Macaca fascicularis: one gene and its partner. The protein of the gene in region 1 purifies or fractionates together with the protein of each later gene. This does not show direct contact. Links are inferred from orthologs where the notes say so. Each region holds a gene or a part of one and is shown in the gene's direction. Other genes may lie near its edges.

The links. Proteins that work in one complex are often made in the same cells at the same time.
Region 2: the proteins of FBXO11 (region 1) and RBX1 purify together in Homo sapiens (co-immunoprecipitation; 4 studies listed by BioGRID and IntAct, with this or other methods). This does not show direct contact. The link is inferred for Macaca fascicularis from reciprocal best matches to the Homo sapiens genes FBXO11 and RBX1.

The regions. Positions count from the first base shown.
Region 1 is NC_088387.1:74,104,695-74,108,746, forward strand, and holds the start of FBXO11 (F-box only protein 11), read left to right. Parts: upstream 1-1,252; 5' UTR 1,253-1,289; coding exon of another isoform or gene 1,290-1,364; 5' UTR 1,365-2,076; coding exon 2,077-2,305; intron 2,306-2,366; exon of another isoform or gene 2,367-2,585; coding exon of another isoform or gene 2,586-2,654; exon of another isoform or gene 2,655-2,678; intron 2,679-4,052. Other genes in the region: uncharacterized protein, read right to left, coding at 353-473, 797-870, 1,290-1,364, 2,586-2,654. UniProt on the Homo sapiens protein: Substrate recognition component of a SCF (SKP1-CUL1-F-box protein) E3 ubiquitin-protein ligase complex which mediates the ubiquitination and subsequent proteasomal degradation of target proteins, such as DTL/CDT2, BCL6, SNAI1 and PRDM1/BLIMP1.
Region 2 is NC_088384.1:10,679,339-10,683,312, reverse strand, and holds the start of RBX1 (E3 ubiquitin-protein ligase RBX1), read left to right. Parts: upstream 1-1,174; 5' UTR 1,175-1,199; coding exon 1,200-1,277; intron 1,278-3,396; coding exon 3,397-3,475; intron 3,476-3,974. UniProt on the Homo sapiens protein: E3 ubiquitin ligase component of multiple cullin-RING-based E3 ubiquitin-protein ligase (CRLs) complexes which mediate the ubiquitination and subsequent proteasomal degradation of target proteins, including proteins involved in cell cycle progression, signal transduction, transcription and transcription-coupled nucleotide excision repair.

The DNA.
Region 1 (4,052 bases):
TCTTATTTAAACTCGGGAGGTGGGGGGGGGGTGACATCTAGAAAGGTGAAGTATTTTGCCTGTAGTCACACACCAAGTCTGGGACTCAACACAGTACAAGATACAGGCTCGCCTCTTTGCGTCTCTTCCTCCTTCCAAAATACACTTTCCTCCCTCTCAAAAGCTTTATCACGCTTTGTAGTTACTTAATTATCGATGTCAAACCTAGACAGCAACTGATGACACTCAAACCAGAGACATTGCCCAAAGTTCTGAAAACCAGAGAATCAGATAAACTGACAGTTTTACCACATCCAAAAAAATACAAAACAAAAGAGAGAAGGGGGAGAATCGAGAAAGAGTACATTTTCAGTCATCGTAACAGAAGCGAGGGAATAAAAACAAGTTTCCCTTGAAGAGAGATTATGTTGGGGGCATCAGGTATAAAGGTAATTCCTCTTGAGGGTTTTTCTTTTCCTTGTAGTTTGTGGGACCTGAAAAAAAATTTAAAAAGTAAATCACATAAACAATCACAACATCAACTCATTTACTTCTCTCCTCTCACATATTAGTTTCCCACACATTGTACACACTTCTTCAGAGAACAAATCAAACTGGCCAAAAGTCAAAGCTTTTTCAAGGTTTAGATGATCTACGATTAAGCACCGACTCCAAACTTCGGTTACCAAGCCCAAAGCTCGGAGAAGGAAATCTCCAGGGTTTGCAAATACCCTCAGCTTCGCTAAAGGGCACGAAATCTCTAGCGCTCCCTACAGCTCAGATTTTGAACCCACCTACCACAGAAAACCCGAGTTACCAAAGATTGGCTCCCTCGTTCCACTTTTTTTTCAGCTCAACAAAATTGGGTGAAGGCTGGGGTAGAGGGGGAAGCTGAAACGGCGAACCGAAGGATTAATCACTTCTCCCCATTACATCAGCAACCCCCGCCCTTTCCTCCGAGCACCTCCTCTCCCAGAATCGTCGCTACGCACTGGCGCTCTCTTCGCCCACCCCCTGCTCTATTATTTGCCCTGATACCTCCCATTATCACCCGCCCCACCACACTCCCCCTTTCCTCTTTCCCCCTCCTAGGCGGGGGAGGGAGGAAACCCGAGAGAGGAAACGGGGCGTTGAAGGAACTTCGCGATAAGAGCGGAGGCCCCATTGGCCGGAAGGTTGTACGGGAGCCTTAGATTGGCCGCCTGGACGGATTCCCCGCCCCTCTTCTCCCCGCCCATTCACCCCTCCCCCCGCCGCCTCGCGGCCCTCCCCCGCGCCCCCGGCCAGCCCCGCGGCGGGGAGGGACCCACTGGGCGAGTGGAGGCTCCGGCGGTGTCAATGGCTCCTCCTGCCACGGAGCAGCAGCAGAAGCAGCGGCGACAGGGCTGAGGAGGAGGAGGAGAAAAGGTTCCTTTAAGGAGGAGGAACGACGACGCCTCTTTTTCTCCCTATCTCCTCCCTTCACACTCATTTCCCCTTCGCCGAGGAGAGAAGGGGGGGAGGAGAGAGAAGAGGCCGAAGAAAGAGAAAAATTCCTCACAGAAATCTCTTTCAGGGGGTGTGGGGGGGAGGAAGAGGGAAAAAAAAAGAGCCGGGCGCCCCCTGCTCCCTCCCTCCCTTCTCTCCCTCTCTTCTTCTCCCTTCCTCACCCGCCCGCCCACTCCCCCCGCTGCCGGAGACGCCGCTCGCGAGTCGGCGGGACCGGGATCTGTCTCCTCAGCCGCCGCCGCCGCCGCCGCCGCCGCCGCCGCGCTTCGCCTCGGGATCCCCAAGCGGCGGACGCCCTTTCTTTCTTTCTCTCGCTCTGCCCGTCTTTCTGCCTTCGTCCCTCGCGGCCGCCCCGCCCGGCGGCCTCGGCCTTCCCCGTGCGTCAGGCCCGCCCGGCCGGCCTCCCTCGGTCTCCGTCTGTGTACCCAGGCCTTTCTCCGGACTCGGGGTCCCGCTCGCCCCCTCCGCCTTCAGCGTCTCCCCTTCCCCTCGCCCCTTCTCCTTCCTCCTCCCTCTCCCACTCTCCCCACCCCCTTCTCCTGCCCCGAAGCTCGCTGTGCGTGTGCGTGTGTGTGTCCCTCCGCCAACGCCGCCACCTCAGCCCGGCAAATGAACTCCGTCCGAGCCGCCAACCGGAGACCCAGGCGAGTGTCGCGGCCGCGCCCGGTGCAGCAACAGCAGCAGCAGCCCCCGCAGCAGCCGCCGCCGCAGCCACCCCAGCAGCAGCAGCCGCCCCAGCAGCAGCCTCCGCCGCCGCCACAGCAGCAGCAGCAGCCTCCGCCGCCGCCACCGCCGCCTCCGCCGCTGCCTCAGGAGCGGAACAACGTCGGCGAGCGGGGTAAGGCCGGGCTCCCTCCCAGCCGCCAGCCGGCCGGGGCACCGCGGGAAGGGAGGCAGGGGCGGGCGGGGGCGGCCTGCGCGCCCTAGGGGTGGGAGACCCAAGCTGAGCGGAGGCGGGTCCCCCGGTGCCGCAGTGTCAGCCGGGGCCGGGCCGGCAGGAAAAGCCGCGGCTTCCCTACTCGCCCGGGCTCTCGCTCAGGCCGCGCTTTGTTTGGTTTCGGGGGCTCGGCACCCTCCACCCCCACCCATCCCTTTGGCTTCTCGGCTCGCTCACGGACCCCGCGGAAGTCTGTTGGCCGGGGGGGAAGGCGAGCGGCGTGATTTCTCTCTTTTCTGCTGCCTTCCATGGTTTAGTCTGTCTCTTTCTAATGGTAGGTTGGGGGGAGCAACTGGGAGCACTCGGGCGGTGGGGTTGGCTGGGGAACTTGTTTTCCCCCATTTTTCTGTGTTAGCCTACCCCTTCCTGGGGAGGAGCGGGAGAGGGGAATCGGGGTGGTCTGTGGTGTTGGCCGGGGAACTTGTTTCCCCCGCCCCCCCGTCCCTGGTCACGGGGTAGGGGGAGCAGCGACTCCTCTCCCAAGCCCACAATGTTTGCTGCGCAGTTTGCCTTTAGTTACAGAACCCCTGGGAAGGACCCGTTAAATCAAGACCTTTAAATAAATAAATATAGAATCCATCGGCCATTTCCAGCCCCCTCCCTCGTGTGCAGTGCAGTTACCCTTCCGCTCTATCGACACCCCCTTGCCTGTCCTCCCCTAGCGACCCCCCATGCCGCGGTGCTGCTCTCCGTCTCCTAGTGGGGTTTGAACGCCCCTTCCTTAGAACTGGCCCCTTGGGATATTGTGTGTGTGTGCGTGTGTGTGTGCGCGCGCGCGCGCGCATGTGTGTGTGTTGTGTCCAAGGCCTAGTGAAATGTGTCATTTGGACCCAACTGTGCAGCACTGTCTGGTAACCACCATTGTCTGAGGGCTGAGGCTCCCCGGGATTGAAATCCTGCTTTAGCAAAAATAATGTTCAGTTCTACTTGGATGATATGGTTATTTTGGGAGGTTTATGAGGTGGGGTGTTGCACCTTGGTCTCCAAACAACCATTCTCTTTATTAATTAGCTGTTCGCAGTAGTGGTGGAGGTCAGAACCGTATTTATGTGTACGGTTGTTGTTTTAAGGAGGAGAATTGTTAGGAGACATTTTGCGTGTTTTAGTTGGTGGATTAAGGTTAATTTTACATGCGTTGGTTGTCACACCTCCATTGATTAAAGAGATTGAGATTAAATGTTTTTTTAAGTTAGACATTATTTCCTTAAAAACGGTTTCATTGTTGTACTTGATCAAAATATTTAACAAATTGAGGAGGGAGGTGTTAATCGGAAAATAGTTTAAAAGGCTTTCTCACCAGTGTTAAAGATAGTCTTAGAGAAAGCAGTTTGCTATATGTTGCTTGAAAGAATGTGATGTTTCAAGACAGAGATCTTGTGCAACATAACTGGCAAATGTGTTTTGTTTCTTTGATACATTTGCCATTTTGGGGGTAAATTTTAAAAATCTGTAGTCTCGTTATTTCCTTTCACGTATGTATATCAGTGTGTTTCTGATGTTCCATTCAAATCATGTTCGTCTTCTTCCAGAATTGGCGCTATATGTAGTACAGTTGACAAATATTTTTGAGAAAATAGTGACACTCGTTTGAAATTCTAGCATTTAATATTAAGGATTCCATTGCTACAGTAAGCTTTTTCAAGATGCG
Region 2 (3,974 bases), on another chromosome or scaffold:
AAAAAATCGGCTCTAGCCTGTAATTCCAGCACTTTGGGAGGCCGAGGCAGGCGGATCACCTGAGGTCAGGAGTTCGAGACCGGCCTGGCCAACATGGTAAAAACCCGTTTCTACTAAAAATACAAAAGAGCCGGGCGTGGTGGCGGACACCTGTAATCCCAGCTACTAGGGAGGCTGAGGCAGGAGAATCGCTTGGACCCGGGAGGTGGAGGTTGCAGTGAGCCGAAATCGCGCCAGTGCACTCCAGCCTGGGCAGCAAGAGCGAAACTCCGTCTCAGAAAAACACCCCAAAAAGTCAGAATGCTTCACAAAAATTAAAGAAATACAGCGACTGCAGATGGGTCGGTTTCACTATAGCACAAGTAGCGGAAAGAGGACACAGACTGGGGAGAAATCACCCTACACAAGATGACAACTGAGGAATGAGGAGTGGGGACTGACACACGCCACGGTGAAACCGCGCACCACGACCAAAGGCGGTCCTAGGACTGCGACTAAGCGGGCGCAGAGGCCACCCTCCAGGCTTGGCGGGGGGATGAGGGCAGCACTGGGGGCCTGCTCAGTCTGGCCTTAGGGAGGACCTTCGGGGCTCTCCTCTCTCCCCATCGATCCCTGAGCAGTTCCCGAACAGAAATCGGAGACCAGACGGTGCCTGGGCCCCAGCCCTCCCACGCGGACTGCGCCTTGGGCCTGGCTCGGAGGTGGGTCAGAGTCTGCGAAAGACCAGCGAGGGCTCTCAGGTTTCGGGGCAGGCGGCGGGCGCCCACCCCGGCTAGCAATGGGAGTCGCGCGGCGACCGGGCGAGCCCGGTAGGCAGGACAGGACTGCGGCGCAGGTCCGACTCAGGCGGAGGAAGCAGCCGCCGCCCCAGCTGATGGAGTGCGGCCGGGGGCTTCCCAGAGGAGGCGGCGACCTCGAGCCCTTTCGAACGTTTCTACCAGGCTAGCTCACGTAGCCTCGGCCCCGCCCGGCCCCGCCCCACCCACTCCGGCCACCGCCCCCTCCCCGGCCGACACTTCGCGGGTGGGGCGACCTGCGATAGCCCCTTTAAGAGGCGTGGTCACGTGCTCCGCCCCCACCTCCCCCACGCGCGCCAGTAAGGGGTGGGGTGCGGGAGGAGGTGCCGGGGAGGCTGGGGGAACGAGGTGTGCGCTGCTGCGCAGGCGCGGTGGTCGGACGACAGACCGTGTGTTTCCAAAATGGCGGCAGCGATGGATGTGGATACCCCGAGCGGCACCAACAGCGGCGCGGGCAAGAAGCGCTTTGAAGTGAAAAAGGTTGGGTCTCGCCAGCGCCTTCCTCAGGGAAGCTAGAGAGGCGCGGATCTGGCTGGCAGGCCCGAGGATGGTCGAGGCGCGGAGTAAAGGGTTTCATTTTAGGGCGTTCCTGGGACCGGGTACCACGAAAGGAAGTCGGGGGGCGGGCCTTAGAGTTGATCGGCGTGACGGCGGCCCACTGTCAGGGGAAGTGTTGGTTTCGATGTGAGGCTGAGGGGCCAATCACAGAGCTGCTTGTTGAGATACGCGGGGTTGCGACTTGGCGGCGGGAGCCAAGCGCCTGAGCTGTCACTGGAGTGGTTGAGAGGTGGGGGAAGGTAGGGTGGGGTGGGGTGGGGTGGGGTGGGGTGGGGTGGGGTGGGTGGAATGGGGAGTCAGAGCGACTGCGGCGGTGGAGGATGGGGCAGTGCGGCGAAAGCCTGGAACCTGAGGTCCTACCGCATTGGAGGCCTCTGAGGAGCCCCGCTAGTGATCTTGCTCCGCCCCTTTTTGAAGCTTGCTTGGGGTCCTCTCACTTGAAGGGATCAGACTTGTTCCTCGCTGAACCGAGGCCTCCATTAACCCCATCTCTGGGCCTCACACCGCCGAGTTAGAGTCTGGAGTGTAATGCTTGGGTGTTCTGAGACGTCTGTTGGCTTTTCCCACAACCACCCCACTCTTGGATTCTCTGTCACGTTCAGAATCTCCCCCTTCCGAAATAATAATAAAAAGCACGGTGGAACTTGTTAAGAAAATCCGAGCCCAAATCCTGTGGCATTTCGGGAGGGTTGAGTAGTAGTTGCGAATGACTTGGTAAGAGGGGAAAGCAAAAATGGAACGTGTCTTTTGCATGAAATGCATTTTAGTGGTTTGCCACAGTTTGGGAGAAAAGTGTCGATTCCCACCTAACATGAAAACTATTCGAAATGGAGATTCTGAAATAGGGAAGATATTCCTGGAACATCTGGCTAAACACTGACAATATCCCCCCCTCCTAGTGCTTTTTGGTGTCTCATTGTGGCCACTGCTGCTCAGTTACAGCCAGCCATATTGAAGAATAATAGAAGTAGGGGCTTTTCCTCCAAGTTGAAGCTGTGATGTGAAAAGTGGTGAAGAAGTTACTAGGCACTGAGACTGGGGTTTGAAAGCGATGAAGGTTTGGGAGTACTTGTAATTGAGGAAACCAGAGTTGAATGAATGAAATGCCACTTTTAGTTAAACTCTTACTGGAATTATTATCTTAATAGAAGAGTCTAAACATATAAAAGTTCAGAACATCAGTTTATTTTATGGTAAGAATCGAACAAAATTCTAGTGAATTGTAGAATTTGTTATGAAGTAATCTAAGATTTAAGTGATGACCTTGTTCTGTGTACTGACATGGGCAGTTAATTATCCAGCTTATCCCACGATTACCCGTTTTATGATCCAGTCATCATCTTAGTTCATTCTGTTCCCTAGCTTTCACTTCATTGCTCATGCTTCCAAAGCTGCCTGGAAGAGCAGATACTTATTCAGATTTTGAGCGCTTCTGCAACTGCCACCAAAACCTGCACAGAAATTCAAGTTTGTGCTTTTTTTTTTTTTTTTTTTTTAGATGGAGTCTCACTCCATCGCCCAGGCTGGAGTGCAGTGGCACGATCTCGGCTCACTGCAACCTCTGTCCCCCAGATTCAAGCGATTCTCCTGCCTTAGCTTCCCAAATAGCTGGCATTATAGACACCCGCCACCAAGCCTGGCTAATTTTTGTATTTGTAGTAAAGACGGGGTTTCGCCATATTGGCCAGGCTGGTCTCGAACTCCTGACTTCAGGTGATCCACCCGCCTCAGCCTTCCAAAGTGCTAGGATTATGGGCGTGAGCCACTGCGTCCGGCCAGACTAAATTGTTTTAAACTACAGGAAACAAATTAAAAGATGACATTAATTTATGTGTTCATATACTCAGTCTTTTGGAGAATAGGAGAATGTATGTGTTGTCTACTGTTGTCTTTGGTATAATAAGATTAACATAATATCCAAAAACTTTTGTTTGGTGGTTCCCTGTGGCCAGAGATCATAACTACAACTGCAGCCTGAAGTCCTAAAAACTGTGTGTGTGTTATAAGGAGAATGCATTGTTCCCTCTTTTTGTCTTTGCAGTGGAATGCAGTAGCCCTCTGGGCCTGGGATATTGTGGTTGATAACTGTGCCATCTGCAGGAACCACATTATGGATCTTTGTAAGTAATTGGAGGAGGATGGGAGGAAGTTGAGAAGGTTGCAGAGCTTGTGGCTATCTTGATGTGACCGATTTTCTTCTTCACAAGCAGATATCAAGCCTACTCTGAGCACTCGGTCTTCTGTATCTAGTCTTTTGGTGTGTTTGAAATAGAGTAGTTTTTTTATGATGTCCTGGAGGCATACCCAGCTTTCAGAATAAATCTACTCAATCTAAAGATGGCAGGGACACATTTAGAATTAATTGTGGACAACAGGCACTGTTGATTCTTCCTGCATATCTCCCATCTTGTACCTAGACTCAAAGGTAGAAATACTGAAAGGAGGAAAATAAACTTTGAGCTAAAATATTCTATCTGAGGCGAGGCGTGGTGGCTCATGCTTGTAATCCCAGCACTTTGGGAGGCCAAGGCGGGCAACATGGTGAAACCCCGACTCTATTAAAAATGCAAAAATACTCTATTAAAAATGCAGAAATTAGCCGGGCGTGGTGGTGCATGC